Linked DNA regions of Pelodiscus sinensis. The protein of the gene in region 4 purifies or fractionates together with the protein of the main gene of each other region. This does not show direct contact. Links are inferred from orthologs where the notes say so. Each region holds a gene or a part of one and is shown on either strand. Other genes may lie near its edges. The genes, in order: TCTN2, SLC12A2, SLC9A6 and CLGN.

Region 1 (7,578 bases), on a different chromosome or scaffold from region 4:
GATTACTCCTCCCACAAAATAAACCTCTAATATCTAGTAATATTTACTCATGTCAGGCAGGATCATAAAATCAAGGAAGATTAGGGATGGAAAGGGACCTCAGCAGGTTATCTCCAACACGCTGCTCAAAGCAGCATCAACCCCAATTAAATCATTCCAGCCAGGGCTGTGTCAAGTCTGGCCTAAAAAACTTGCACGGACTAAGATTTCACCACCCCCTTAGTTTTCACCACCCTCCTAAAAGTTTTTCCTAATATCCAACCTAGACCTCCCTCTGCAACTTGAGACTATTGTTTCTTGTTCCGACATTTGCAACCACTGAAAATAGCCTAGCTCCATTTTCTTTGGAACCCCTTTCAGGTAGATGAATGCTGCTATCAAATCCACTCATTCTTCTCTTCTGCATGCTAAAAAAGCCCAGTTCACTCAGCCTCTCTTCATAAATCATGTACCCCAGCCTCCAAATAATTTTTGTTGTTCTCACTGGACTCTTCCAGTTTGTTCACATCCTTTTCGTAGAAAGTAGGGATGTTAAATTTAGATTAATTGGCTAATTGAATAGTTGATGCAATTTGCATTAACTATTTGATAAGTCAATAAGGGAACCTCTGCCTTTGAGGCTGCTGGTACAGCCCTCCGCCCTGGGGCTGTTGGTACACTTCAAAGGTGAAAGCGCTGTGGGGAGTAGTAGTGGCCAAAGTAGTCCCTCACTGGCCCCATCCTCCCCACGACGTTTCAAAATGGCAGTGCCGCATGGAACCAGGGGTCAGCTGGAGATTTTGCTGACTCCTGGCTCTTTGTGGCACTGCCACTTTGAAATGCTGCGGGGAGGCTGGCATCAGGCTCCATGCAGTGTTTCAAAGCAGCAGCATTGCATGGAGTCCAGGCTCTGGCCCCAATTCCACACAATACTGCCACTTTAAAGCACCCTCTTCTCCCCACCCTGCTTGCTGCCTCTTTCTGATAAAGGCAGCAAGGAGAGGAGGGAGCGACTAGTCAATTAGAGTGTTGACTATCCGATAAGCATTTGCTTATCGACTAGTCGTTCATATCAATTCGCTCAATCTGCTGGTGATCTCCTACTTATGTAGCGCAATATGCCATTAGTCTTCTTGGCAACAATGACACACTGTTGCCTCATATCCATGTTCTTGACCATTGCAATCCCCAGGTCCTTCTTGGAAAAACTGCTTTAGCCAGTCCGTCCCCAGCCTGTAGCTCTGCACTTGTCCTTGTTGAACTTCAACAGATTTCTTTTGACTCAATCCTCCAATTAGTCTAGCTCACTCTGCGCCAGCCTATCTACTTTTCCCACCAGCTTAGTGTCATCAGCAAACTTGCTGAGAGTGCAATTCAACCTATCATCTAGATCATTAATGAAGATGTTGAACAAAATCAGCCCCAGGACCTGGGGAAACTCTGTTTGATACGAACTGCCAACTAGACATCAACCCATTGATACCTATCTGTTGAACCCAACCATCTAGCCAGCTTTCTATCCACCTTATAGTCCATTCATTCAAGCCATACTTCTTTAACTTGCTGGCAAGAATACCGTGGGAGAACATATCAAAAGCTTTTCTAAAGTCAAGACATATCACAGACACTGTTTTCCCCATATCCAGAGAGCCAGTTACCTCATTATAGAGAATAATTAAATTGGTCAGCCATGACTTGCCCTTGGTGAATCCATATTGACTGTTCCTGATCACCTTCCTCTTCTCCAAGTGTTTCAAAATGAATTCTCAGCACCTTTGGTTTCATACACTAAAGAAACATTTTTGAAAATCAGATGGCCAACGTACAAGAGAGTGACTTATGGCCAGGGCTCGACAATTAGTGTAATCTACTCGCCTGTGGCGAGTAGATTCCACCCCCGGAAGAGCCGGCACGGAGCGATCTGCGCACGTGCAGAGCGCAGAACCGCGCAGCTGGTGAGCAGGGCTCACCACTGCTCGGCGAGCTCTGCTTATGGCTATCTCTGACCCTTACTTGTTCTCCTCCATTCTCTGAGCCAATAGCCACATGCAATCCAGCTCCAAAAATCCATAAAACACCCAATAATCATAATAATTGATGGCTAACTCCCACTCTCTCCCCCATGAGCCCCAGGACCTTGATGTGTCCAGCACCTGACCCTTAAAGACCCTGCCTTAATCCACTATGTCCGTCCCAAGGGAGAAAACTTGTTCTTCCTAGCCTCTGAGAATAGAAGAAGCAATGGGCTTAAACTGCAGCAAAGGAGGTTTAAGTTGGACATTGGGAAAAAGTTCCTAACTGTCAGGGTGGTTAAACACTGGAATAAATTGTCTAAAGAGGTTGTGGAATCTCCATCTCTGGAGATATTTAAGAGTAGTTAAGATAAATGTCTACCAGGGATAGTCTAGACAGTACTGGGTCCTGCCATGAGGGCAGGGGACTGGACTCAATGACTTTGCAAGGTCCCTTCCAGTCCTAGTATTCTATGATTCTATGACTATAACTAAACTCCAGTCTGTACACCCCACTCTCTGAGACCCAACCTAATCCTCTCTCCTTTATCTCGCCCCATTATTTCATCCTCTTATCTCCCCACCTCTGGGTCCCTTCCACATCAAGGATCTGAATGGTGAGGTGTTCTGGTTCTGGTTAACCAGTAGGGGTTGGAGCAACTCCCTGCCCGTTAACCAGTTAAACATGTTTAACCAGTTAACCAATTAATTTGAATGGTACATCCCTATTCCACACTGCCCTCCCTATCTGCTGCTGTCTCCAGGAGTCTCTCTGGCCTCTTCCCCTACCTCCCCTCAGGTCTCTGTGCTTTCCCACAGCCCCCCTGCCCCCACATTTCAGAGGGGTCACTGCCAGCCTCCCCCCCACAGCCTCTGGGCTCACACACACAGAGACATAAGCCAGCGCGTCACTAGGGCCGTACCTGAGCAGCGCCCCGCACGCGGGAGGGGGCAGCCAGGTCTCTGCCCCTCCCACATCTGAGGACCCCCCCCCATAGCTGCCAAGACCCCCCACAGCACCCACCGAGGTTGCCTGGCGGAGCCAGGATCTGGGCCCGCCCCGCGGGGCGCTCAGACCCCAGCAGCAACAGCGCCCAGAGGACAGAAGGGATCATGGCGGGCAGGGGCTGCCAGAGAAACGCGGCACAGGCAGCCACAACCCAGCCGCCATCTTGCGGCGGGCCTCTGTCGCTATGGAAACGGTGGCTCGCGGATCACTGGAAGGCCCTTAGAGCCGTTCCCTGGCGTGCCCGCGCCGGCCGAGACGAGGAAATACTGTGCGCACGCGCAGACTCGCTGCTTTCCTGCCACGGCCCAGGTGAGGCGCCCTGTGCGCGAGGCGCAGCCCTGCTCGTGTGACCCGGCAAAGGCTGGAGTCGCTGTGGCGGGCTGGTGGGCTGGGCGCCCCCGCAGGAGCAGGGCGCTAGTCCGTCTGGACCTGAATCTGGTGGAATAGCGGCCCCACGTGAGCGGCCATGGCCTAGCAAAGCAGCTCCCCCTCTGCAGAGCTCGTGGGGCAGGCAAATGGCTTCGCAGCAGAGGCCTTGCTGATGTTTTATGCAGTTGTAAAATTGTCGAGCTCCTGTAAGGGCATCTTGCTGAGGCCTAAATAGATAGGTATCCCGTCAGGGCTGTCCCTAGGGTTTATGGGACTCCACACAGTACTATGAAACCAGACAACAGTGGGGCTAGTCCAGACTGGCATGATTTTCCGCAAATGCTTTTAACTTAAAAGTCTTCCATTAAAAGCATTTGCGGAAAAGAGCATCTAGATTGGCATGGAGAAAAGCACTTTTTGCAGAAAAGCGTCTGTGCCAATCTAGATGCGCTTTTGCACAGAAAAACCCCGATCGCCATTTTCACAATCGGGGCTTTTTTGCGCAAAACAAATCTGAGCAGTCTACACTGGCCCTTTTGCGCAAAAGGACTTTTGTCCAAACAGGAGCAGCATAGTATTTCTGCAAGAAGCACTGATTTCTTACATGAGATCGTCAGTGTTCTTGAGGAAATTCAAGCGGCCAGTGTAGACAGCTGGCAAGTTTTTCCAACTTGCCAGCTAGACACAGCCTGGGGGCGGAACAGAGGGGAATGATGATTTTTTTTAGAGATGCAATTTTGTAATCTTGGGCAACACACTAATCATGCCTTTATGCAAGGGGGGGCAAAAGGTGCAAAGGCTCCTCCCGCTCATAGTCCTCTAAGTAAGCATGAGGTTGGAGCAGCATGTTGTCCAACTTCCCTTCTCTGTGCTCCAGCAGGCCAGGGCAAGGCTGGAGCTGATTTTCAGCCCCCACAGCAAGGGCTGCCACCAGCCATGCCCACCACTCATGCCCTCACGCACAGAAATTCCTGTGTATGGGCCTGCTAATTAAATAGGCTTTAAGCTAATTTCATACTCAGATCCTGTTGACTAATACAGTACATTCAGAAACTGACAAGTCTATTTACCTGGGGTTGGCTTCATTGCCACTTTCACAGATTACATGTTCTACCAATACATCTGGCCTGGCCAGCTTTTTCAGAGTTAAGTTAACTGATTTCTCTCCTGAGGAAGCAGAGCCACAGGCCAGTGATAGGAAAAGCAGCCGGGTAGACATGAATATCCAGTGATGCTCCAAATTTTTGGGTGCCCTACGCAGCTGCATATTCTGCATATGAGTAAAGATGGCCCTGTATAAGTAGGTATTCTAATACAGGCAGTCCCCGGGTTACGTACAAGATAGGGACTGTAGATTTGTTCTTAAGTTGGATTTGTATGTAAGTCGGAACTGGTACATATTGTAGGGGAAACTCTAGCCAAACATTTCTCCAGAGCTCAGTTTTATTCTCGCACACCTCACTTCCCTCAGTCCTTTATTCTCAAGCTGAGGTGTCTGCTGAGAAAAGCCGCTCCGCGTCTCCCTGGTCTGCTGGAGGGGGGGGAGGGGGGCGCTAGCTTCACGTCTCCCTGGTCTTCTGGGAGGAAGCAGCTAGTGCGGGGTTGCCTCACCCCGTTTGTAAGTAGGGATCCGATGCAAGTCAGATCCATGTAACCCAGGAACTGCCTGTACTACTTAGAGTTTAAAAACCACGCCTAATTTTAGATTGCAATAGACCATATTGCCCTCTTAGTTGTACATATTGAAGCATGTTTAAGGCTAAAATATTCATCAGGGCTACATCTATATGATGCTCTCTTGCGCAAGAAGATATGCAAATGAGGCAAAGTGGTGAATATCGCTACACATTTGCATACTTAATGAGCCGCCATTTTGCGCAAGGGGCTTTTGCGCAAAAAGGAGCCATCTACACCGCTCCTTTCTGCACAAAACCCCCTTGCACAAGAGCTGTTCTTCCTAAAAAACCCAGCAGAACTGCTCTTGTGAAAGGGGTTTTGTGCAAAAAGGAACAGTCTAGACAGCTCCTTTTTGCGCAAAATGGCGGCTCATTAAGTATGCAAATGAGGTGCAGCAATATTCACCGTTTTGTCTCATTTGCATATTTTCTTGAGCAAGACAGCGCAGTATAGATGTAGCCTAACAGTATGTAAGATACCTTATCTGGTTTAGATTCTCAATTAATTTTTGAATTTACCTTTAAGATTATTTCAAAGGGAGACTAAAAAAGGAAAAGAGGCAACTTTTTTAAAAAGTCACTTTATTACAAATATTTATAAAAAACAAACTATAAATACAGTTTTCACATAAAATTGCATTTAGCTAACAAGCCAGTAAAATATTAGCATTTTCAATAAAATGGTTTCCCAATCTAACCTGATGAAAATACTATAAATCATCTCCTGTATATACCATTAAAAAAGAATTTATCTACAATCCTGTTTTCTATTTAGAAAACATTCCCATATTGCCTCTGATTACTACAGCAATTACTAAATGTAATTTAAAACACCAAAAGATGCAGTTAGGAATTCAAAACTAGGGATTTTTGTTTGTTTGATTTAAACATAACATTTGGAAAACTGAGAACATGCACCATGCATTCACCTGCTGAGATAGAGGGAAAAATCAATTCATAACAGAGGCCTTCCTACATTATCTTTCCGTGGTATTAGTCAAACCTAAAAAAAGAAACTTGCTATCAGATTCCAGAGATTTAAACTGTTTTCCAGTTTCAAAATATCTTAAATCCTTAAACATGAATGAAAAATAAATACTAGATTTTTCTTTTATTAAACTTTAAAAGGAAAATTACTTATCTCTGTAACGTTAATAGATTATTCAAATGAATAATTTTGTGTTTACTTTTGTTTTGGGAGAAGATACCAAAGTGAGCAAAGAATTACACACAAAGCAGATAATGCCCACTAAAAAGGAATAATTTAGTGGGAAGAGGGAAGGAAAAATATCAAAAATTTGCCTCATCCCAAATAAAACTAAATGACAAATTGTACTAAAGAGAGCTGCAGAATCCACTACAGCATGGATCCTGCAAAGCACATATGACCATGCTTACCTTTACCATGCATGCAGGAGCAGGGCCTAAGTATTTACATTCTGCCTCTGACTCTAAACAGAATTAGGGATGCTGTGTTGTTTTATGATGGTGAGGGCATCTTCTGCTTATACAAGCAGCAGTTTCTGACTCCTAATGGTCAAATAGGAGATTTGATTTTAAAATCATACAAACCATGCACCAATACAACCATCTGCTATTTACAAGGAAGGTGCATACAACCTCTTTGATGTTTTTAAATGTTTAGCAATGTAGATTTGTACAATGTGAACAATTTATTTCACCTTATAAAAATGCCACCAACTCCAGGTACATGCAAGAAGTAATGGTGTTTTTTTATAACTTTGTTATACAGCTAATTTTAGTTTCTTTTTCTTGGCCTTCATGACAGGTGGTAATGAAATCTTAAAAGCAGTCCTGAAATACAAGAAATTAAAAATAAGATATGCTAAATATATTTCTACATTTAGCCTACATAAGCAAACAAAAATCAAGAAAAGCACTTACTCGCATGTGCTACATATAGGGCTGAAGTTGCAGAATACTGGAAAATAAAAGAATAGGTCAATTTCACTAAAATAATTACCTTGAAACAAGAGAAATTAGGTCAGTTCTGTTAAATATATTTGTAAAACTTACTTGACAAACACACAGAGCAGACATAGCCTATTTCAATGAGATTTCGATGACAGAAGCAAGCTGCTCGATAGTCAACATGAATGGGGGGTGGAAGGATTAGTTGGGATCTTTGGTCTTGATCAGGAAGAAATACCCACTGTATAAATTAAAGAGAGGGGAATTTTAGAATCTGGGAGGAAACTATTATGTTAAAGTACGCTTTGCTATATATACCAAAATTACTGCAGAGAAAAAAGTTACCTTCCCATCTGCCAAAGAAACTCGCCTCTATGACTGTACCAAGTCATTAAGTAATTTGAGCAAGAAGGGAATTTTGTCCTCATTTACCTTCCAGGAAATGTTTTTATACTCATATTGCAATAAATAAAAAATGCTCTTTTAAAAATCAAGTCATTTTAAGATATTACAATTCATTCAACATCAATTTGAACCATATGTGAGTTTAATGGGGACAGAGGTGCCAGAATTATACCTCCAGAGAGAAATAAAAAAATGT
Region 2 (8,357 bases), on a different chromosome or scaffold from region 4:
CCGGCGGGGGGGCATCCCAGGCGCGCCTGGGCTGCTCCCCCGCCGGAGCCCCTCCGCGGCTTTCAAAGCCTCGGGGGAAGCCGGCGGGGGGGGCATCCCAGGCGCGCCTGGGCTGCTCCCCCGCCGGAGCCCCTCCGCGGCTTTCAAAGCCTCGGGGGAAGCCGGCGGGGGGGCATCCCAGGCGCGCCTGGGCTGCTCCCCCGCCGGAGCCCCTCCGCGGCTTTCAAAGCCTCGGGGGAAGCCGGCGGGGGGGGCATCCCAGGCGCGCCTGGGCTGCTCCCCCGCCGGAGCCCCTCCGCGGCTTTCAAAGCCTCGGGGGAAGCCGGCGGGGGGGGCATCCCAGGCGCGCCTGGGCTGCTCCCCCGCCGGAGCCCCTCCGCGGCTTTCAAAGCCTCGGGGGAAGCCGGCGGGGGGGGCATCCCAGGCGCGCCTGGGCTGCTCCCCCGCCGGAGCCCCTCCGCGGCTTTCAAAGCCTCGGGGGAAGCCGGCGGGGGGGGCATCCCAGGCGCGCCTGGGCTGCTCCCCCGCCGGAGCCCCTCCGCGGCTTTCAAAGCCTCGGGGGAAGCCGGCGGGGGGGGCATCCCAGGCGCGCCTGGGCTGCTCCCCCGCCGGAGCCCCTCCGCGGCTTTCAAAGCCTCGGGGGAAGCCGGCGGGGGGGCATCCCAGGCGCGCCTGGGATGCCCCCCCGCCGGCTTCCCCGGAGGCTTTGAAAGCCGCGGAGGGGCTCCGGCGGGGGAGCAGCCCAGGCGCGCCTGGGATGCCCCCCCGCCGGCTTCCCCCGAGGCTTTGAAAGCCGCGGAGGGGCTCCGGCGGGGGAGCAGCCCAGGCGCGCCTGGGATGCCCCCCCGCCGGCTTCCCCGGAGGCTTTGAAAGCCGCGGAGGGGCTCCGGCGGGGGAGCAGCCCAGGCGCGCCTGGGATGCCCCCCCGCCGGCTTCCCCCGAGGCTTTGAAAGCCGCGGAGGGGCTCCGGCGGGGGAGCAGCCCAGGCGCGCCTGGGATGCCCCCCCGCCGGCTTCCCCGGAGGCTTTGAAAGCCGCGGAGGGGCTCCGGCGGGGGAGCAGCCCAGGCGCGCCTGGGATGCCCCCCCGCCGGCTTCCCCGGAGGCTTTTTAAAGTTTTGGTAACCGCTACTTCGCGGTTCGACCATCGCGGATTCATAATGTAATGAAAAAAGTCCGCGAAGTCGTGAATCCGCGATAGTCGAACCGCGAAGTAGCGAGGGTTCACTGTAAAGCCATTTGTTCTTCAAATATACAATTGTGACTGGTTCCTACTGGTCAGTGTCCAACACCTGCATCTTTATAAATCTGAGTGACAAGTTGTTGCTGTTTTCCTTCTAATACAAATCTACATTTATCTCAAGCCGGTTTGTGGACAACTGAAACCAACACGAAGAAAGGAGCTTAAGGGGAAATCATTTAGTTGTTTTGCCTAGATCAAATTCAGACAAGGGGAGGAGGGCAGAGAGAAGACAGAGCAAAGGCTTCCTATTGCAACCCAGCGGCCCGTGTTAGTCAGCGCAGATCTGAATTATCTGGCCCCCACGTGGGAAGAGGAAGGAAGCAATGCAACTGTGAGCACAAGCACCATCAGGGCTCTGAAGCACTCGGGCTGAGGAATGGAGATGCCCGCAGTATCTTACCTTGTCCAACTCATCGTGCAGCTCGGCCAGGCTAGGCCGGATGAGCTTCTCGCCCAGGTCGGCGGCCGTGTGCCGGTAGTGATCTATCCTGGGCACGGCGTCCATGGTGTTGTGGCCAAAGGTGCGCAGGTAGTAGGTGTTGGTGTGGGTATCGTAGTAGTAGTGGTGATGCCCGCCGGGGCCGCCGCACCCGGAGTGGAGACTGCCCTCGCTCAGCACCGTATCGCCGCCGTTCTGGAAGCTGACCCCGCCGCCCTCCGGGCCCCCGCCGTGCTCGACATGGCTATCATCGCCGGCCGACGGGTCCACGAAGTTCACCCGAAACCTGCCTTTGGCTTCGTCGCTGCCCTTCCCCGCCGCGCCGCCCGGCCCGCCAGCTTTCTGGGGTTCGTCCGCTGCCGCCCGGCCAGAGCCCTCCGCCACCAGATCCACCTGGAAGCGGCTCTGGCTCGGGGTGGGACCCAGCGGTCTGCACAGGGCATCACCAGCCGCTGCCGCCGGAGACAGTCCCGCTTCAGGCTCCGCACCGACAGCCGCCGCATCCCCAACGCGAGCCGGCAAGCGCGGCGCTTCCTCAGCGTCTCCCGGCGCCGCAGCAGCCTGCTGCCGGGTGGAGCCAGACGGCGGCTGCTTCCCCTCCATGTCTCCGGCTCACGCGGCAGCGAACGAGCGACGGCCCCGGCTGCCTCTGACACCCCAGCGGCGGCTCGGCTGCTTTAAACGTCCAACCACCAGCCGGGCTGCCCCAAGACCACGCAACGCGCCGCGCCCGCCCCTCCTCGCCTCTCCCCTCCCTCCGCCTCCGCCGCAGCGCCAGGTGATGATGCTGCCGCCGCCGCGGCACTTCTGGCTCCTCCGCCCGCCACAAGACCCTGAGCCCGGACAGAGGGGCAGCAACAGCCGCCTTGCGGCGCGCTCCGCAGCGGCACCCGACACCTCCTGCCCCCCACCCACCCGCGCTGGGCAGCAGGGCCCCCGGCTGAGGGCACACGCGGCTCCCGCTCCCCACCGCGCTGCCTGACCTAATCCCAGAACCGCCCGACACGCCGAGGCAGGGTCCCACGCCGCCGCACTGACACCCCGAGGAGCAGGCGGAGCGGCGCTCGCCCGGCGGGCTGGCCCCAAGGCGCTGACAGCAGCCGGCCGAAGGGGCAGGGCTCAGCCAATCGCGGCTCGGCGGCGCGGCTCGGGGCTGGGTCTTTAAAGCGACACGAGGGCGGGCTGGCGGCGGAAGTGGCTTTTTTCCGTCCCTCCCCGTCCTCGGGGGGGGGGGGGGCTCGGCCGCCGGGACTCGCGCGCCTCCGGCCCTAGCGAGCGTCGCTTCCCTTCCCCGGAGCGGGCGCGGCGGCAGCGAGGCGCCGCCTGTCTCGGAGGCTCCGCCCGCCCGGTCCCTCCGGGCGCGCTGCGGCAGGAGGAGACACCCGGCTCTGGGGCGGATGCTAGCGCCGCTACGGCTGCGTCCGCCGCCTCGGAGGAGAAGTGGGTGACAGGCGGCGCTCGCAGCCCCAGCACCAGCAGCCGCCGCTCTTAGGCAGGCCGCGCGCGCGCGCTGCTGGCCGATGGTGCCGGCTGGCTCCGTCCCCGCCCCCTGGGCCTAGCCTCGCGCTCGCTCCCCCGGTTTGAAAGTTGTCCGCCCGCCGGCTCCGCAGGCTGCGGCGCGGGGAAAGATCTCGCGAGAAAATCCCCGGGCGCCACTCTTAGGAGGTGGTGGGGGTCGGGGGCAGGTCAGCAGGAGCCGGTGCGGTTGTGCTGCAATTACTGCACATTTTCATAGCCCCCCTCCCCTTCTGTCTCGTGGTCGATTGCCTTAAGGGGAGGGCTGAGCTTCCCCAGCTCTCACCTGCTTTTGCATACACTGCTCAGTGGCAGGCGCACAGGTCTGTGCCTCTGCCTTCTCCCACCCGACTTTGGATGAGGGAGATATGGACAAAGAAAGGCCCAGGCAGGGATCAGCAGCCAGGACCCTGGGGCTATGTCTATGCTGGCGAGTTCTTGCACAAGAACGGCCGTTCTTGCGCAAGAATCCACAGAGCATCCACACTGCCTGTCTGCTCTTGCGCAAGATTTACAGTACCTGCTGGTAAGAGAAAGCTTCTTGCGCAAGAGCTACACTCTTTTCTTACAAGTGTAAGCTCTCTTGCGCGAGAAGCCACCAGTGTAGACATAGCCTGGGTGTGGGGGGGAGATAGCAGCCAGGGCTCTGGATGCAGGTCAGGTGTGCTGCAGCACTTCCCCACACACAGCTAGGTCCTGTGCCTGTCCCCCAACTGTGACCTCAGAGCTCCAGAGCAAGAACCTAACTGACCCTGCCAACCTCCCCACCCTCTCTATCCTGCTCTCAACCGAGATCCAGGAGCCTCGGCTGGGGACGCAGAGCTCCAAATAGTGCCCCCACCCCTAGTGTGACAGACAAAGCTGTGAGGAGGCCTGGGGTTTACAGCAAGAAACCTATCAGCCTTTTTGTCAATTTCACAGGTCTAGCAGATGTCTGTGAAACCGACAATGACAGCGAACAACTGCCCTGCTATACGCTGTCATGATGGTGAAAGTATATTAGTGTAATAGAGCATTTATATCATAAGTAAGGCTGCAGTAGTATATACTGACACAATTAGCATGATGTAAGCTGCCTTACGTTGACCAAACTGTACGTACATAAGAACAGCCATACTGGGTCAGACCAAAGGTCCATCTAGCCCAGTATCCTGTCTGCCAACCTTGCCCAATACCAGATGCCCCAGAGGGAGGGATCACAACAGCTAATCCTCATGTGATCCCCTCCCCACCATTTCCAGAGAAACAGAGGATAGGGACACCATTCCTACCCATCCTGATTAATAGCCATTGATGGCCCTAACCTCCATGAATCTATCTCACTCTTTTTTTAACCCTATTAAAGTTCTAGCCTTCACCGCATCCTCTGGCAAGGAGATCCACAGGTTGACTGCACACTGAGAAAAGAAAAACTTCCTTTTGTTTGTTTTAAATCTGCTGCCTATTATTTTCATTTGGTGACCCCATAGCTCTTATTATGGGAATAAGTAAATAACTTTCCCTTATTCATTTTTTCATACCAGTCATGATTTTATAAACCTCTATTATATCCCTCCTTAGACTCCTCTTTTCTAAGCTGAAAAGTCCAAGTCTTTTTAATCTCTCTTAATATGGCACCTGTTCCAAACACCTCATCATTTTTGTTTCCCTTTTCTGAACCTTTTCCAATGCTAATATCTTTTTTGAGATGGGGTGACCACATCTGTACACATTCACTCAGTGTGCAGAGGCAGTGAAAAAAGCAAATAGAATGTTAGGAGTCATTGTTAGGACTCCTAACATTCTATTTGCTTTTTTCACTGCCTCTGCACACTGAGTGAATGTTTTCAAAGAACTATCCACAATGACTCCAAGACCTCTCTCTTGAGGTGTTGTAGCCAAATTAGTCCCCATCGTATTGTATACATAGCTGGGATTATGCTTTCCAGTGTGCATTACTTTACATTTATCAACATTGATTTCATTTGCCATTTTGTTGCCTAATCACTTAGTTTGATGAGATCTTTTTGAAGCTCTTCACAGTCTGCTTTGCTCTTAACTATCTTGAGCAGTTTGGTATCATCTGAAAATTTTGCCACCTCACTGTTTACCCCTTTCTCTAGATCATTTATAAATAAGTTGAATGGATTGGGTCCCAGGACAGACCCTTGTGGGACCCCACTAGTTACTTCTCTCTGCTCAGAACATTTACTATTTATTCCTACCCTTTGTTTTCTGTCTTTTAACCAGTTATCAATCCACAAAAGGACCTTCCCTCTTATCCCATGACAACTTACTTTACTTAAGAGCCTTTGGTGAGGGCCCTGGTCAAAGGCTTTCTATAAATCTAAATATACTACATCTAAAGGATTAGCCTTGTCCACATGTTTGTTGATCCTCTCAAAGAACTCTAGCAGATTAGTAAGGCATGTTTTCCCTTTACAGAAACCATGTTGACTTTCCCCCAACAAATTATATTCATCCATGTGTCTGACAATTTTATTCTTTACTAGTTTCAACTAATTTGCCCGGTACTAACATTAGACTTACTGGCCTGTAATCACTTACTGGCCTGTGATCTAGAGGATCACCTCTAGAGCCCTTATTAAATATTGGTGTCACATTAGCTATCTTCCAATCAATTAGGTACAGAAGCTGATTTAAAGGATATTTACAAACCACAGTTAATGGTTCTGCAAATTCTTTCAGAACACTTGGGTGAATGCCACCTGGTCCCAGTGACTTGTTACTGTTAACTTTATCAATTTGTTCTAAAACCTCTTCTAATGACACCTCAGTCCGGGACAATTCGTCAGATCTGTCACCTAAAAAGAATGGCTCCGGTTTGGGAATCTCCCCAATATCCTCAGCCATTAAGACTGAAGCAAAGAATTCATTTAGCTTTTCCGTGATGACTTTATCATCTTTGAGGTCTCCTTTAGCATCTCGATTGTCCAAGGGCCCCACTGGCTGTTTAGCCAGATTCCTGCTTCTGATGTACTTAAAAAACATTTTACTATTACTTTTTGAGTTTTTGGTTAGCTATTCTTCAAATTCCTTTTTGGCTTTTCTTATATTTTTACACTTAATTTGACAAAGTTTACGGACTTTTCTATTTTCCTCACTAGGATTTGACTTCCACTTTTTAAAAGATATCTTTTTATCTGTCACCGCTTCTTTTACCTGGTTGTTAAGCCACGGTGGCACTTTTTTGGTTCTCTTATTGTGTTTTTTAATTTGGGGTATACATTTAAGTTGAGCCTCTGTTATGATGTCTTTGAAAAGTTTCCATCCATCTTGCAGAGATTTTACTTTTGTCACTGTACCTTTTTTTTTTTCTGTTTAACTGACTTCCTCATTTTTGTGTAGTTCTGCTTTCTTAAATTAAATGACATAGTGTTGGGCTGCTCAGGTATTTTTCTTACATTAGGTCATTGTTTTCAAGCGGTCCAGTTATATTTACCTCTTGAACCAGATCCTGCGCTCTACTTACGACTAAATCAAGAATAGCCTCTCCCCTTGTGGGTTTCAGAACCCACTGCTCCAAGAAGCAATCATTTAATGTATCAATAAATTTTATCTCTCCATCCTGTCCTGAAGTGACGTGTACCCACTCAATCTGGGGATAGTCGAAATCCCCCACTATTTCCGAGTTTTTTAATTTGATAGCCTCTCTAATCTCCCTTAGCATTTCATAGTCACTATCATTGTCCTGATTATGTGGTCGATAATATATTCCTACAGCTATATTCTTATTATTGGAGCATGGAATCACTATCCATAGAGATTCTATGAACGTTGTGGTTCATTTAAGATTTTTACTTCATTCTTTCATGTATAGAGTCACTCCCTCACCAGCACGACCTGCTCTGTCCCTCCGATATATTATATACCCTGGTATGACTGTGTCCCATTGCTTGTCCTCATTCCACCAAGTTTCCGTGATGCCTATTATATCAATATCCTCCTTTAAAACTAGGCATTCCAGTTAATCCATTTTACTATTTAGACTTCTAGTATTTGCGTATAAGCACTTTAATAATTTGTCACTATTTATCTGTCTGCCATTTCCTGATGTTAGACTCTTTCATTTGATTGTGCCTCATTTGATCTGATAGTTCCATCATCTCCTCCTGACTAGAAAATAGAGCATCTCTATTAATAGAACCTCCCTGTGACGGGGCTGGCCAGCCTCCCACTGAACAGGGGGGCGGAGAGCCCGCCTATTGGGTGGAATACGCCCCTTCCCCGCAACCCTGCTGGGCATGCTCGCAGTGCAGCCCTGGTATAAAAGGCTGCCGGGCTGCTCAGTTGGGGCTGGCCGCGGGAGGGGAAGGAGCTCCTCTCCAGGCCCCAGAGCCGGAGCCACAGCCACCGGACCAAGAGGTGCAGGACCCGTTACCCCTGCCGATGTTGTCACTGGGACGAGCCAGACCACAACGCTGGCCGTGCTGCACAGCCTCCCTAGAAGCTGTTGCTGCTGTTGCTGGACCTGCACCTTCAGGTGGGACTGCCGTCAGACCAGGCAAGGGGGTAGGAAGCAACCCAAGGCAGGGGCCAGAAAAAGGCCCAGCGGGCTCAGTGAGTTCCGGGGAGAATGCCCTGCTGAGCCAGTAGTGGAAACCACCTGCCACTGATAGGGCCCTGGGTTGGGGCCCAGTGGAGGGGGGGGGCCCAGGCCCCTCTACCCCTTCCTACCAGATCCCAGACGACGAGGGAAACCATTTAAAGGACTAGGCCGCTGGGCCTCCGTTGAAAGGACTAGGCCTCTGTGCCTGCATTTAAAGGGGACCGGACCTTGGGGAGAAGAGGATGGGGCTGGTGAGCCCGCCACACTCCCCTAATAGATAGTTTAAAAAGGACTGGGGGAAAAGCCAACAGGTAGTATAAGCTGACATGTAGTATACCACAGAGTTAAGGGCTTGTCTCCTCTACCAGGTGGATTGTTGCTGCAGCGATTGATCCATCAGGGATTGATTTATTGGGTTTTCCCACTAAATCAACTGCCAAATGCACACCTGTGAAGTCCAGTACTCCACCAGAACAAGACACATTACATTGATTGGCGAGTTTCTCCCATTGACCCAGCTCTAGCCAGCCTAGATTTCACACCACTGGACAGTCATGCAGCTGGGAACCCAGACCCTGCTGACAGCCTTTAGCACACATGCATCCCAGCAGTG
Region 3 (7,198 bases), on a different chromosome or scaffold from region 4:
TAAGTATAAACCAGCCACAGAACCTCAAATTCTATTGCCCAATGAGACATATTACGTTGTTACACATCCATTACCACCTAGAAGTTCCCTAGTTTCACTGAGCTGCAACACAGAACTTAGTGTAGGCAGTGGTTAAGAACTCCAGTTCTCCTATGCTTTGTGCAGTTTAGCTCTATATTAGAAATACGACTAACATTCCAGGCCAAGATTTTAAAATGCGTCTAGTGATTTTGGGTGCCCAACTTGAGATACATTAAATGAGGCTAATTTTCAGTGGGAGGAACTCAGCACTTTCTGACACTGAGGATCCACTCGGATGCCTTAAGTTGATCACCCAAAATCACTAATCACTTTGATAAATGTTTGGGTCCCCAGGTTCATACTTTCATAGATGAGAATATGACCTCCAAGATTCATGCAGGAAGAGCTCTGCACAGGGCCGCATTGACACCATCTCCATAAGAGAAATCACAGGGCTGGGGCCTATACTTGTAACCTCTTTACTGTAAGTGTCAGATGGGCAGGAATTATATAAACATTTTAGCGCAGGGCTACTCAACTTTGGAAGCCCCAGGGGCCACAATGATACTCACAGTACATGCCGAGGGCCGCAACTTAAGTGTGGTTGCATATACATGCAAATATATGCAAACAGCTTCTTTCACACTGGCGGGCATGAATACAAAGATTAAGGCAAGACTACACAAGACGCAGGCTCCATTTAAGTCACTCCTGCTGATATTAATAAAATGCAGTATTTACCTGATTTCCACCCCTATGACAGTACTTTCAATGAGCAATGACAGTCCAGGAATTTAACTACTAAAACACATATTCCACCTGCATGCCACGTGTTGAGCCCCGCGTAAAATCAAACTACATTGCGGGCCGCAAACAAATGGGCTGCGTGATGAGTACCCTGCTTTAGCGTGATACCTTATGGATTAGGGATGTTAAATTTCGATTAATCAGCTAATCAAGTAGTTGATGGAATATCCATGGGGGGAGCTTGCTATCCCGTCTCGCACCAGATCCCGACTGTTGCACCTCTACTTGAGTCCCCGCTCACTCTGGGTTCCCTGCAGCGCCTCTGCGGGGCTCTTACTACATTTGAAAGAGAGGCGCAGCAGTCAGGATCTGCTTTACTCCCTGCTCATGCCATTTTCCCTGCTGCGCCTCTGTCTCCCCTGCTCCTCTGTGGAGACTGTGCTGGGGGGAAATTGGCTTTTAAGCTGGCTCCCACCAGCACCAGCTCCCCCCACCCCTACTGCCCCACTGCCCCTGATACAAAGGTGGGGAGAAAGCAACTGGTTGACTAGGCATTTGACTACTCGATAAGCCCAGGCTTATCGGGTAGTCGACTAGTCGCTTTCATCCTTATTCTGGACATTAGATGTGTAACATCTCTAGTCTTGATACAATGCAATATTTTTTTTCAAAAAAGTTTATTAACACGCAGTGACATGTTATATACATACCTCCCAGGCAAAGAACACAATTTAAGATCTGGGCAAATCTCTTTCATCCTCTTAGCCTAGTGCACTTTCCTTCCACAGTTGCCAGAACTATGTGAAATCAGGTGTCTCTGCACTAAGGGATCCTTTTAACAGTTCACCCACCCCATATTAAGAGACCTCTCAATATTTTAAAAAAAAAACCTACTTAAAATACAATGTCTTGCAACTTTTAAAGACACACACTTCAGCTATTATATAGGCTTTTCAAAAACACCTGGGTTAGGGTTAGGTCAACCCCTCATGGCCAGATCTTTCTTATGCAGGAATGGTACAGTAGATGCTGATGTCTCATTGAGGGAGACCCCAGATGGGTATTTTCCTGGTCAGTCTCACCATAGATCTGATTCCATCTCACGCAGAAAGTATATGACTATATAGTGAGTAGGCCACTCCAATGCAGGAAGTGCTATGATAGGGTTGCCGGGTGGGTGCTAAATCACGGGTGTTGGGTGCAAAATGCATGGAGGGGGGTTGAGTCCTGCCTGGTCTCACGCACGCAGTGTTCCCAGGGATGGGTCTGACACGGAGTGGGAGATGGGGTTGTTTGCTGGATGGCTCAAAAGGATGGCTGGGTCCTGAGAGAGTCTCTCACCACAGGAAGTTACCCGGCAGACCTTGTGCAGTCAATATGCCAAGACGTGGGTGTCAGAGGGGTGGGGTAAGTGTTGGGTGCTGTGCGCCAGCTCCAAGGGTGAGTCTGGCTGGCTTCTGTGTGGCAGCTCAGTAGCCAAGCAGTCGGGAGGGTGTGGGGTATCCCTCACGGTAGACATGACCAGGTTGGCTTCAAGCAGGAAGTGCACATAGAGGGTGCCCACTATCAACTGGTTGCTGGGTGGCAACTGAGAAACTTTATGTGACAGTTCAGGGGCTGGTTACTGGGGAGGTGCGGATGAGAGTTTGGGGGGGGAGAGCAGGTGCTATCTCCGGGGAGGGGTGGAGGGGACTGTTGCTAGGCAGCAGCCCTGGGCCGGAGGGCAGCTCAGGGGGCTGGTCCCTAGGCAGCAGCGGAAGGGTGGGGGTGTGGAGCCGGGGGGGGGGGGGCTGAAAGCCAGCTCAGGGGGTGGGGGCTGAGTGACAGCTGCAGGGGGGTGGGGGCTGGTCGCTAGACAGCAACCAGGGGGCGGGGGTCGAGGTGGCAGCTGCGAGGGGCGGGGTGCTGAAGGGCAGCTGGGGGGGGGGCAGCTGCGAGGGCTGGTCGCGGAGTGGGAGCCGGCGGCTGAGGGGCAGAGCCGGGGGCGGGGCCGGCGCGCGGCGCCCCTCACCGTAGATCATGGCCAGGCCGGTCTCGTGCAGGAAGCGCGCGCGGCGGTGCTTGAAGAGCCAGATGGTGAGGATGGTGAGGGTGAGCAGCAGGATGAAGATGAGGAGGTTGGCGCTGTCCTGCCGGTGACTCTCCTCCGCCGCCTTCTCGGACACGATCTCCTCCTCCAGGGCCACGGGCCGGGCCACCTCCCCGCGGGCCGGCGCCGCCAGCAGCAGCAGCAGCGCCCGCACGGGCAGCGCCACGGCCATGGCTCCGGCTCCGTCCGCAGGGCCCGGCTGGCAGCGGAGCTGTGGGCAGGGCTCGGCGCAGGCGCCGGGGCGGGAAGTGGGGCGGTGCCGGGCGCGCGTGGGGAGGGGCATAAGGGGCACAGGCCATGGCTGTCGGCTGGAGGCCCCCGGGGAAGTGCGGCTGCTCTAGCGAAGCACCCGCCGTTTCACAGCCAGCCTAGCGTGTTGGGAACCCCGCATGCCTAGGCTTGCCCATGCCTAGCATCCGGCAGCATCACACCTGCCTGGCACCGCGTAAAGCGAGACTGCGGAGTTACCCATCCTTGGGGGATGGCATGGCAGTGGTTCCCTACTCTACCGTGTTTGTCACTGGGAACAAAACATGGGTCTGTTAAAAAATTCCCATTGAACATTAAGAACATATGTTCTTACGTTGACGGGTCCGTTCATAACTCTGAGGTGCTGCTGCACCCCAAAATACCACAGTATTTCATAAGCTCTGCAGCTGCAAAGCTCAATCCAATGGCAGCCAGTCAGTGGGATCTAAAACTCTTCTGTGTACACAGTCATTGATGCAGTGTAATTAATGTGACTCTCTTCATGTGTGAGCTATCTACCAGGAACACAGGATATATGCTGATATAACCCTCACCACCATTGGGCTCTACTGGAGGGACAGTTGGGGAAATTAGTAGGCTGTCCAGTTCTGGGTTCTAAAGCCAGGAAACTGAACGTTCCCAATTTTGTGAGGCCAGCTGTTTGGGAGGGACAGGGGCAAAGCAAGCCTTAAGGGTGAGTTACCCAGGTGACTGCAAATGGGTGTCATACTCAAAGTGGTGCTACTATGCAGCACAGAACCATGCCGCTTAGGTTGTCAGTAACTGCTCCTGGCTGACCCGGGAGCTCTTCTGGAGAGAAAAGCTACCCAGGTTGATGCCAGTTTCCTCCCAGTATAAGAACATGGTGGGAGGGTGATCTCTCTCCCACAAACCTTCCTCTACAGGGCTATGGGGGAAGCCAGATGTAACACATTCATGCTTTGTGCCTCCAGGCCACTTTCTCCAGCCCAGTTATGCCTGAGGTGAGCATCAGGAGCTGCTGCTCTCCTGTCTTTCATGGACCCGATATTGCTCCTTGCTTCCCAGCTCCTAGCCTCCTAAGGTGCTCAGAGCATTGCTGGAGAGGGGAAGCTAACAGCGAATCCATGCATCCTGGGCGTTTTTCCCAGGAGAATGCAGGAGTTAGGAACGAAGGGGACACAGTGCAGGGTGAGAGGCGGATGGGGATATCGAGGAGGCCAAGCGGCAACGCGCAGCAGGGCAGCTGTGCAAAATACAAGTTTTCCCCAGGCCGCCATTTGTACTCCAGTGCTATTGCCCCACCAGCCAGGGGAGAAGCGGCTCCCGGGGAGAGGGAAGGTAGCTAGGGGCTGCCACAGCAAGGACACCGCACAACCCCCATCCGCAGGGAAGGCCTCGGACTCTGCCAGAGGAGTGGGCCCAGCAGCCTGCCACTCGGGCTAACGGGATGCCGCTCCCCAAAGGACCTGGGAGCAAAGCTCACCCTTAAGTCCCGCCCCTCAACCTATGACTCTGCCTGTCCCGCCTATCTTCGTCGGCCCCGCCCCTCAGCCTATGACTGTCCCTCCTGCCTATCACTGTCGGCCCCGCCCCTCAGCCTATAACTGCCCCTACTGCCTATCATTGTCGGCCCCGCCCCTCAGCCTATGACTGCCCCTCCTGCCTATCATTGTTGGCCCCGCCCCTCAGCCTATGACTGTCCCTCCTGCCTATCACTGTCGGCCCCTATGAATGCCCCCCTCCTATATGAGTTTGTATGCCTTGGCCCCGCCCTCAACTACAGCCCTAGCCCTTTCGCCAATCACCGCTGACCCCGCCCCTCGACCGTCCCTTCTAGCATCTCAGGCCACACCTCTCGACCTATGACCCTGCCCCTGTCTTCCCCCCCCCTCCCGCTCTTTTCCCTCTAGCGCCGCTCAGGGGTGACGCCATCTCCGTGCGCCGGTCGCCCCCCTGGCGCAAGCCGGCCGGACTGAAGGGAGGGAGCCCGTGGCCGGCGGGGGACGATGGCGGCGGCCTCGCTGTGGAAGGGGCTGGTGGGGATCGGACTCTTCGCCTTGGCCCACGCGGCCTTCTCCGCGGCGCAGCGTGAGTGAGCGGGACCTGGAGGCGGCGCGGGGGGTGAGGGGCTGTCGCCCGGGCGGGGAGCGGGGACGTAGCCATCCTCGTCCCCGCGGCCCCTTCCCCACACGCTGCTCGGGCAGCGGGGGAGGGGCAGTGCGGGCGCCTGGGCGTCGCGGGGTGGGGGTGGCGCGCAGGAGCGGGGCGCGGGTGCTGGTGGCAGCCGGGACGAGGCGGAGTTAGATGAAGGCGGCAGAGAGATTCCGGGGGCAAAGCGGGGCCGGTTCTTACTGAGGAAATCCCTGCGCCTCAAGCCGTTTGCCGAGGGGGAGATTTGGGGACGCATTGCCAGCCGTGAGCTGGGGGCCTGGGCCAGGAAGGGCGGGTAGGGGGGTACCACACAGAGCTGTGATTACAGATGAAGCCGGAGGGGGTAGGTTCGCCCAGAGCTTTAAGTATATTTAGAGGAGGAAAAGAGTGTGTAAAGTGTAGCCAGTTCTCTTTTGAGCCCATATGTTAATTTTCAAGCCTCTCTTGTAGAGATCCTCAATACCTTTAAAGCAAAATGGTATAATTTCTCCCAAATTGCTTGCTTTGGGAATCAAGGATCCAGTTACTTTATGTAACCAGGATCAGAAAGTCCTGGTCAAGGACTCTGGCTTGGAAAGATTAATAACCCCTTGAAAACATTTACACGCAGGCATCAGCATGGTTCTAGCTGTGGTAGGTGGCAAACCTAAATATTACACGTTTCTGAAGCCTGTCTAAGGTTATTTCAAATTCCTAACTTTCCGTTTTTTAAAATACTGTTTTTCAATTCTAGTGGGTTTTGGAGACACCACTTGCTAGAATCGTGTCAGGATTGTGGTGGGGCAATACGGGAACAGGCTATGGCTAGGTCACTGAATAAGCAAGTGGGGAAAGAGGGACTCTGGCCCCCTGTGCTACTGGCCCAGGAAGTTTTTGGGGAATAGCCCTAAGAGTCCAGATTCCCCCTAGCTGGAGCTTCTCAGTAAGTTTCCAACCTTTTCTTGGAGGGATAGGGGTGTGGGCTTACTTACTCCCATGGCTGCTGAGTGTACAGGTTCTGCTGAACCAAGCTCCTGCATCCTTGCTAGTCAGCCCCAAAATGAGCCAGGCTCCTTCCTTCTCTACTTCCTCCAGGCCTGGTATTGGCTGCAGATGAAGCCAGAGGGGGTAGGTTGGCCCAGAGGCTTTCTTTAACCCCTTGAACACTGGGACCTCCTTTTTCTGCTGCCTCACACATGCCAACAATGTGTATAAAATGATTTAAAGGACTATCCATTTTTTTAAACTAAATCTGTTATTATCTAAGATGCCACAGGACTGCTCATTGTTTAAACCACTTACTTTTATAATTCAGAAAAAGGTGATGTCCTTTAGTTTTACAACCCAGAGTTATCTGAATTTTAGGACAGATTAAGTTAATGCAAAATGTGCTTACAAAATTCCACACTACTGCATACCTCTGACTAGAATGAAAATAATTAACTGTATTGAGCTAAATTTCTGCCTGTAATGTCTTGTAGAATTAGGCTGATAAGTATAGCATTTATAAATGGCAGCATTGTGACAATAGACATACACTCTGGTTGGCCCGGTGTGGAGTTGCAACTTCGGTTGCAAGATTCCTGTACAGGAGTCAGGATTGAGGTATATGAGGGGCTCAGGTCAGGGTGCTAGGGGCAATGTTCCCTCTAAACTGCTGCAGGACAGCTTCACAGGTGATTAATCAGCCCCCCTCAGTCAGTCAGCTCTCTGCATGGAGCCCTAAGCCTCTGACTGGGTTGGACTGATTAAGCACTTATAAAGCTGTGCTGCCACGCAGCTTAGAGGGAACACTGGTTGGGGCTGGGGGGGTGGAGGACAGGTTGCAGGAGACAGGGGCAGGGTCCTGAGGATGGGAGGAAAAGCAGGGGAGTTAGGCTAACTTGCCTGGCCTGGACCAGGTTGCTGCAGCCGGGCAACTAAGACTGGACAAGGGCCAAGCCAGGATCATCAGCCCTTTCTGCAGTAGATGGGGGCCAG
Region 4 (7,290 bases):
TGTAATTCTCATCTTGGTTTGAGCTTTTAGGTACTACCGTAACACAAAGTTGCACAGATCAGGAAGGATTTTTGGAGCAGATTTTAAAAAGTCCTCAAGTCTTACTCAGGACCAGACAACTGTGTGTTGGACATGCTAGTATATTACCAGAAGTTATAGCAGCATCAGAAGCCAAGGCCCATTCTGCTAAGCACGGTACAGACACATACAAAGAGATTCCTGCCTCAAACATCTGGTCTACATTACAGCAATTTCCACTAGTATTCTTTCAATCCTAGCACAATTACTGCTTTCAATATTTCTTAACTTTCCTGGTAGATTAGATTTCTTTTGAATCTATTTTCCCCTCCACAGAGGAAGCTTCTTTAAAAGAAAAAAAATTTGATAAAGAATGTACAAACAGAAATAACTACTATGATCACCTTTAAACCATGCTACTTAACTCATGAGGGCAAGGACTCTTTACCCTGAAAAATTTAGATTTACAGAGGGTAACAGAAATGCACTTTAAACGTCTGTTGAAAGATCCAATTACCTGAAATGTAGGGCCAGTCAGGGGAGGGATGTGAACGACTAGTCAGAGACAGCCGGAGGGAAGGGGGGGGGGGGGGGGAGAAGAGGAGAGTGCGCTTCCAAGCAGCAGCGTCGCATGGAGCACGGGATCAGCTGGGGACTCCCATACTGACCCCAGGCTCCATGCAGTGCTACCACTTTGAAGTGCACCTCAGGAGAAAAAGAAACCAAGCACTGTCCACCCAATCTGTTGGATCCTGGCCAAAGGGTCTGGTCAGTCATGCTAAACAAAGAACAATTGTTGAGAAAGCTACCTTGAGCTAAGGCTATATCTTCGTAAATTAGGTATTGGGCATAAGCATACAAACAAAAGTAACCCATTCTATCTTCAGCCTGCTCTGCCTGATACCAAGTAGCCCTTGTTTTATCTTTACTATAACACAACTCGGTGTAAAGATAAATGATTGTTAACTGAAATGATTGTTAACTCCAGTTTAAGGAAACAAAAGCACACCTTATTGCTTTAAGGAGACATGGACCTTAACTCCCTGAGAATTCCAAGACAGGAATGACTCAGCACCCAATTAAGACATGCTGAGGCCCTAAGCTATTTCAAGTTTAAGATGTCCCATCACATTACCAAAAAACATTAATTTAGTCATTTTTTTAAGAGGTCTAATAATCTGGGGCACTAAACTGCAGTTTACGTTAGGGATGTCAGCACATAGTTGAGTAAACAATTAAGTCCGGGCTTAACTAAATGCACCCCCTCTTGCTGCCTCTGTACCAATCCTATGGAGCCACCTACTCTCCCTCCCGCCCACTTCCGCGCTGCTGCCTCCAATAAGGGATGCCAGAGCAGCCCCTGTCTGCAGAGAGCTCGGTTCCCCCATGGACAGGGACTGCTGTCACAGAGCAGCCTCTGTCCTCAGCAGGACCAGGCTGGCTACAGACAGAGGCTGCTCTGTGGAATGCCAGCGCAGCCCCTGTCTGCGTGGAGTTCGCCTCCGCCCCCCATGAAAAGAGGCAGCACAGGCTTGCAGACTTCCTGCAAGCGGGGCTGGGAGCGCACTGCCTGCCAGCCCCACCCCCGGGGATTATCAAATAATCATATAACCACTAAAATGTTGTGCTGTTACACGATTATTGAATTAATTGATATTAACCATAAGCTCGTCTGTAGGCATCTGGGCTCTGAGACATAAGTAGCAGAATATTTAAGACACGCAGGATTGGAGGACAGTCAGTGACAACCTCCCCTAAAGGACGGAACCCCAACCATTTAACAGTGAAGCAGATTTAGTGCAGTTAACATATAAGATATATTGCAGAAGGATACCTATGTTTAAAGCAACCTGCAGATAAAAGCGAGCACGTGTTCAGAATCAAGACGCTATGTCCAGTCCACATAAAACTCCACAAATCCTGGGCCTACGTTTTGATAAAGGCTCATCACACGGGTTTTAAATTTTGCGCATTCCAAGGTAGTGCAGCCCTCCTTCAGCCAGGAATACACACGCACAACAGCTTGGCAGCTGAAACCAGAGTATCAGGGTCTGACTGACCCTAACCAAGAGCAGCCAGCCAGTGAGCTGCAACATTCCCCGGCAGGCAGACAGTTTAGGGCACCTACTGCCCATCCCCCACACGGAGCTAATTGCTGTTGTTCTCTCCGGCTGGTCCCACTAGGCCTCAGAGCATCTCTCAGGAGAGGCGGGCGGTGCTGCCCGAGAGCTCTCTGCCCCGCCGTGGGGGGGCGGGAGTTTGAACGAAGTCGGAGACCGGGCGGGGGCACAAGGCTGAGCGCGCGGAACTGGGAACCCCGCCAGGCACGTGTCCAACAGGGGACGCGCCGAGCCCATGGCTGGGGTTCGAACCCTCATGCCACGGACATTCTAACGGCAAAATAACGGCCGCGCCCGCGTGCCGAAGGCTCACCGCCGGGGTGGGGAAAGGGTCGGCAGGAAAGCGGCCTGCACCCCCGACTTCCTCCGCGCCGCCGAGCTCCTAGGCGCCTGCGGCTCACTGGCCTCCAATTAACGGGCGAGCGAAGGAGCAACTGGCCCGCGAAGCGAAAGCCCCGAGCAGAGCTCCAGAGATGCTCACAGCCGCGAGCCACCACACAGGCAGCAAGAGCGGAGGCAGCCCGTCCCCGCGTGACTCAGAGACGTTTAGCCGCGGGAGGACAATTACCGGCAAAACAGAAGGTCCGGTCCGCGTCTGTCCGGTAAAGCCAGACAGCGTCCCTTCGCGCATCACCCAGCTCCAACTACGCATGCGCCACTGCGCTTCAAGCGATGCCGGCGCCGAAGAGCAGGTGTTGCCGCGCAACCGAGCCAATCCGCTCACGCTGCGAACAGACCAAGCGAATCACAACTCCAGACCCTCCCGTCCGACCCACTGGCTGCGATCACAACGCCCGAGCCAATCACTGCTCAGTCCGCGGCGGTCAGGGCCCAGCACGTGCTGGCTTAGCCAATCACCATCAGCGTTTACAGAAGGGCTCGCGGCTCTGCTCCCGCAGCTTTGGACGTGCCGCTGCAGTGCGCGCACGCGCGGTGTCAGTCACTGTTCAGTCCAGGCCGCCAGACGTAGTGGTCAGTGTCCGCGCGGGAGCTGGGAAACAGGTGCCCGTTTGGTGCCGCCCCGCTTCCTAGCCAGGGTCAGGCAGGGCATGCGGCTTGCGCAGCACAAAGCCTCAGCAGCGAGGCACCTGCTCGGCCCGCAGTTACTGCTGCGCGATCCCATAAACATACCCGCCCTTGCTCCACCCCCTGCACCTCGTCCCTCCATGGTGCTTTGCTTCCCCCGGGCTGCTGGCTGTGGTGGGGGCCAAGGGATTTGATGCGTGAGAGGGGCTCCGGGCTGAGCATGGAGAGGAGGGTTAGGATGCAGGCTCGGGCTGGGAGTTTAGATGCAGAGGGATGCTCAGGGTTGAGGCAGAGGATTGGGCTGCAGGGGACTCTTGTACATTTCAAAGTAGAAGTGCCCTCAGGGAGCCTGGGCTCAGAGTCACCTGCTGACCCCGGACTCCATGCTGCACTGCCACTTCAAAATGCCACATGAGGCCAGGGGTCAGATGGGGACTCCCCTGCTGACCCTGGGCTCCTCAAGGCATTTCCCCAGATCCTGGGGTCAGCTGGAGACTCCCCAGCTGACCCCAGGTTCTGCATGTTTTCAAAAGCTGTGGAGGAGCCTGGGCTCAGCTAGGGAGTTTCCAGCTGACCCTGGGCTCCTCAACATTTTCCCAGAACCTGGGATCAGCTGGGGACTCCCCAGTTGACTCTGGGTTCCACGGAAATGACACAGGGAGCCCAGGGTCAGCTTGGGTGTCCCTAGCTGACTTTGGGCTCCATGCAGTGCTACCACTTTGAAACACCTTAGCAATGTTTCAAAGGGGCAATGCCACACAGAGCCCGGGATCAGCTGTGCAATGCTTCCGCTTTAAAGTACCCCACCTTCCCCCACCCCTTTGCTGTCTCTATCTAATAGAGGCAGCAAGGCTGGGGAAATCACCTAGTGGACTGGACTATCCGATAAGCATCGGATAGTCAACTATTCCTTAACATCCTTAATAAGGACAAATGAAACAGATTAAACCTTCCAAATCCGGGAGTCTCTAGTCCGGCAACATCTGTGGTCTGGCAGAGCCACGGATGTTGCTGGACCTGTCATAACCATGAGGGTTAGCTAGCAGCCTGGAGTCTAAGGGGTTATCTATGTTCCTATATCTAGCCAGGTAGCATTCAGCCAATAGAAATGCAGGTAGGGACTTCAAACTTAGACAAAAGAATTTTGAGGTTTTCCCTCCTTTGTCTCTGAGTCAGTTTGCTCTCTAGATACTGAGGGAGACAGAAGACATGTCTCTCTCCAAGAAAAAGACTCTTCAAAATGTGTAAGTAGGGTAAAGTTTAGATAAATCTGTTAGGTTTTATTGTTTCTGTTCTGGGACTTTGGATCTGATGTGTGTGCTGTTAGAAATGGGTTTTCCTCCCTAACGCTACGTCTAGACTGCAAGTCTCTTTCGAAAGAGGCTTTTTTGAAAGAATCTTTCGAAAGAGAGCGTCTAGACTGCAACCTCTTCTTTCGAAAAAGCAAGCCGCTTTTTTGAAAGAGAGCACCGAGGCAGTCTGGATGCTCTGTTTCAAAAAAGCCCTGTTTGCATTCAAGAACGCCTTTTTTCGAAAGAACACTTTAGAAAAAAGGCATTATTCCTCGTGAAATGAGGATTACCGCCATCGAAAGAAAAGCCGCGTTCTTTCAATTTAATTTCGAAAGAATGCGGCTGTAGTCTAGACGCAGGTGAAGTTTTTTCGAAAAAATCCTGCAGTCTAGACACAGCCTAAGTCCTGAGCCCATGGAAGTCCCCATGAGTATATTAATTGGTGACTTTTTCCATCTAGTCATTATGCTTTCAACAAGAGTATTGTTTTGATGATAAAAGTTCTTTCTTTTGTTAACCTGGTATTGGTTCAGTTCTGTGTCCTGGAAAATCTGTCTGTGGATATCTGCATGCCTCTCACTAGAGGGCAGCTACCACAGATTGCAATTGGTATTTTATCTTTTATTTTTCAAGCTCTTTGGAGAAAAGAGCTTGGGGTACTCTGGAGCTGGTTTCAAGTGTCCACCCGTTTGTGGGTTCAAAAGCACTTGATGGTGGCAGCAGATTTTTATCCCCAAAATCTAGGTTTTTAGGATTTTGGGGGGAGTTTTATACCAAAGCCTGCAAAGATAAGGTTTTGAGGTTGCTTTTGCAGGCCCCCACTTCTGCGTTCATTGTGCCACAGTGGGGAATCAGCCTTTACAAAGCATTTGCTTACCGGATAGTTGCTAGTCCTTAACATCCTTAATAAGGACAAATGCAAAGTACAGGTTGAACCTCCCAAATCCGGGAGTCTCTAGTCCAGCAACATCTGTGATTTGGCAGAGCCAGGGATGTTGCTGGACCAAAGAGCCCTGGAGCAATGCAGGGGCTGGGAAGCCCCAGCTGGGCCAGACAGCATCTGGGGAGCCCCCACCCTGGCCCAGAACCCCAGAATTAATGGAACCAGGCAATGGCTGGGGAGCCCCACTGCTGGCCAGAGAACCCCCACCGTTAGCGGGGCAGTGGCTGAAGAGTCCCCGCCCCAGCCAAGAATCCCTGGCTGCAGCTGGGCTGCCTGCGGTCGTGCAGCCCTGGCCAGTAACCCTGGGAAACCCCCCATGGCAGCGGGTCTGGCAGAGGCAGATGACCTAATCTCCAGCAGCATCAGGGTGGTCCTAGTAGTAGGGAAAGATGGCGGGGCGGCCCTGGCTGGGGAACCCCCTGTGGCAGCAGAGCCACCAGCAGCTAGGTGGTCCCACCCGGGAACCTTGGAAAATGCCCTGCAGCAACAGGACCAACAGTGGCCAAGTAGTTCCCGCCAAAGACCCCGGGAGACCCTGGGGCAGTGGCCGGGTAGCAAGGTGGGGAACTGTGTTGAACCAGCTTTAACAGGGCCAGTGTTAGCACAGAGAGCCTCAGGGAGAGGAGCTTGGGAGGGGGGCAGCCAGCAGGGGAGCACTGACCTCCTCTGGTTCGGCAAACTACCTGGTCCGGGACAGCTCAGGTCCTGAACGTGCCAGACCAGAGAGGTCTTACCTGTACGCCACTTAGAAAGAAACAATCAGTTTCACACATACAGAATGGGAAGTAACTGTTTAGGAAGGAGTACTGCAGAAAGGGATCTAGGAGTCATAGTGGACCACACCTAAATTTGACTCAGCAGTGTGACACTGTTGCAAAAAAAGCAAATATGATTCTGGATGCATTAACAAGAGTGTTGTGAGGAAGACATGAGAAGTCATTCTTCCGCTCTACTCTGTGCTGATTAGGCATCAGTTGGAGTATTGTGTCCAGTTCTGGACACCACATTTAAAAACAGATGTGGAAAAATTGGAGACGGTCCAGAGAAGAGCAACAAAAATGATTAACGGTCTAGAAAACTTGACCTATGAAGGAAGACAAAGAATTATGCTTGTTTAGTTTAGAAAAGAGAAGACTGAGGGGACATGATAGCAGTTTTCAAGTATCTAAGGGTATGTCTACACTACCCTCCTAGTTCGAACTAGCGGGGTAATGTAGGCATACCGCACTTGCAAATGAAGCCCGGGATTTGAATTTCCCGGGCTTCATTTGCATAAGCGGGGCTCCGCCATTTTTAAATCCCCGCTCGTTCGAACCCTGTGCCGCACGGCTACACGCGGCACGAACTAGGAAGCCTAGTTCGAACTACCTAGTTCGTGCCGCGTGTAGCCGCGCGGCACAGGATTCGAACGAGCGGGGATTTAAAAATGGCGGAGCCCCGCTTATGCAAATGAAGCCCGGGAAATTCAAATCCCGGGCTTCATTTGCAAGTGCAGTATGCCTACATTACCCTCCTAGTTCGAACTAGGAGGGTAGTGTAGACATACCCTAAAAGGGTATCACAAGGAGAAGGGAGAAAAATTGCAGGAAGGGATTTCTATTTTCCATTCAGTCAAGCATGTCTTAATATAATGGGACATAATAACCTTCGTGAATCTCTAGAGCGTCTTCATAAAATCTCCCAAGAGCATCAGTTTATCCAAAATTTCATCGCCTCATACATCAAGGCAGCCAAGCAACCTTAACTATGCCATATTGTGACACCATATAAAGTTTTAGCATTTGTGAACCCAGATTAAGGATATTAAATTTTGGGTAACTGACTAATCTAATAGTTGATGCATTTTTGCATCAACTGTTCAATTAGTCGATAGGGTGCCTCTGCCTTTTAA

Evidence for each region.
Region 1: the proteins of CLGN (region 4) and TCTN2 purify together in Homo sapiens (affinity purification with mass spectrometry; 3 studies listed by BioGRID and IntAct, with this or other methods). This does not show direct contact. The link is inferred for Pelodiscus sinensis from reciprocal best matches to the Homo sapiens genes CLGN and TCTN2.
Region 2: the proteins of CLGN (region 4) and SLC12A2 purify together in Homo sapiens (co-immunoprecipitation; 3 studies listed by BioGRID and IntAct, with this or other methods). This does not show direct contact. The link is inferred for Pelodiscus sinensis from reciprocal best matches to the Homo sapiens genes CLGN and SLC12A2.
Region 3: the proteins of CLGN (region 4) and SLC9A6 purify together in Homo sapiens (co-immunoprecipitation; 3 studies listed by BioGRID and IntAct, with this or other methods). This does not show direct contact. The link is inferred for Pelodiscus sinensis from reciprocal best matches to the Homo sapiens genes CLGN and SLC9A6.

What each region holds. Positions count from the first base shown.
Region 1 is NC_134725.1:31,202,567-31,210,144, forward strand, and holds the start of TCTN2 (tectonic-2), read right to left. Parts: upstream 3,272-7,578; 5' UTR 3,107-3,271; coding exon 3,016-3,106; intron 1,768-3,015; exon of another isoform or gene 1,638-1,767; intron 1-1,637. Other genes in the region: GTF2H3 (general transcription factor IIH subunit 3), read right to left, coding at 6,791-6,860, 6,951-6,987, 7,083-7,218.
Region 2 is NC_134716.1:51,375,864-51,384,220, forward strand, and holds the start of SLC12A2 (solute carrier family 12 member 2), read right to left. Parts: upstream 3,241-8,357; 5' UTR 2,284-3,240; coding exon 1,642-2,283; intron 1-1,641. UniProt on the Homo sapiens protein: Cation-chloride cotransporter which mediates the electroneutral transport of chloride, potassium and/or sodium ions across the membrane. Plays a vital role in the regulation of ionic balance and cell volume.
Region 3 is NC_134723.1:34,716,082-34,723,279, reverse strand, and holds the start of SLC9A6 (sodium/hydrogen exchanger 6), read right to left. Parts: upstream 3,114-7,198; 5' UTR 3,030-3,113; coding exon 2,780-3,029; intron 1-2,779. Other genes in the region: MMGT1 (ER membrane protein complex subunit 5), read left to right, coding at 5,095-5,176. UniProt on the Homo sapiens protein: Endosomal Na(+), K(+)/H(+) antiporter. Mediates the electroneutral exchange of endosomal luminal H(+) for a cytosolic Na(+) or K(+).
Region 4 is NC_134715.1:43,521,187-43,528,476, reverse strand, and holds the start of CLGN (calmegin), read right to left. Parts: upstream 3,040-7,290; 5' UTR 2,707-3,039; intron 2,679-2,706; exon of another isoform or gene 2,452-2,678; intron 2,049-2,451; 5' UTR 1,853-2,048; intron 1-1,852. UniProt on the Homo sapiens protein: Functions during spermatogenesis as a chaperone for a range of client proteins that are important for sperm adhesion onto the egg zona pellucida and for subsequent penetration of the zona pellucida.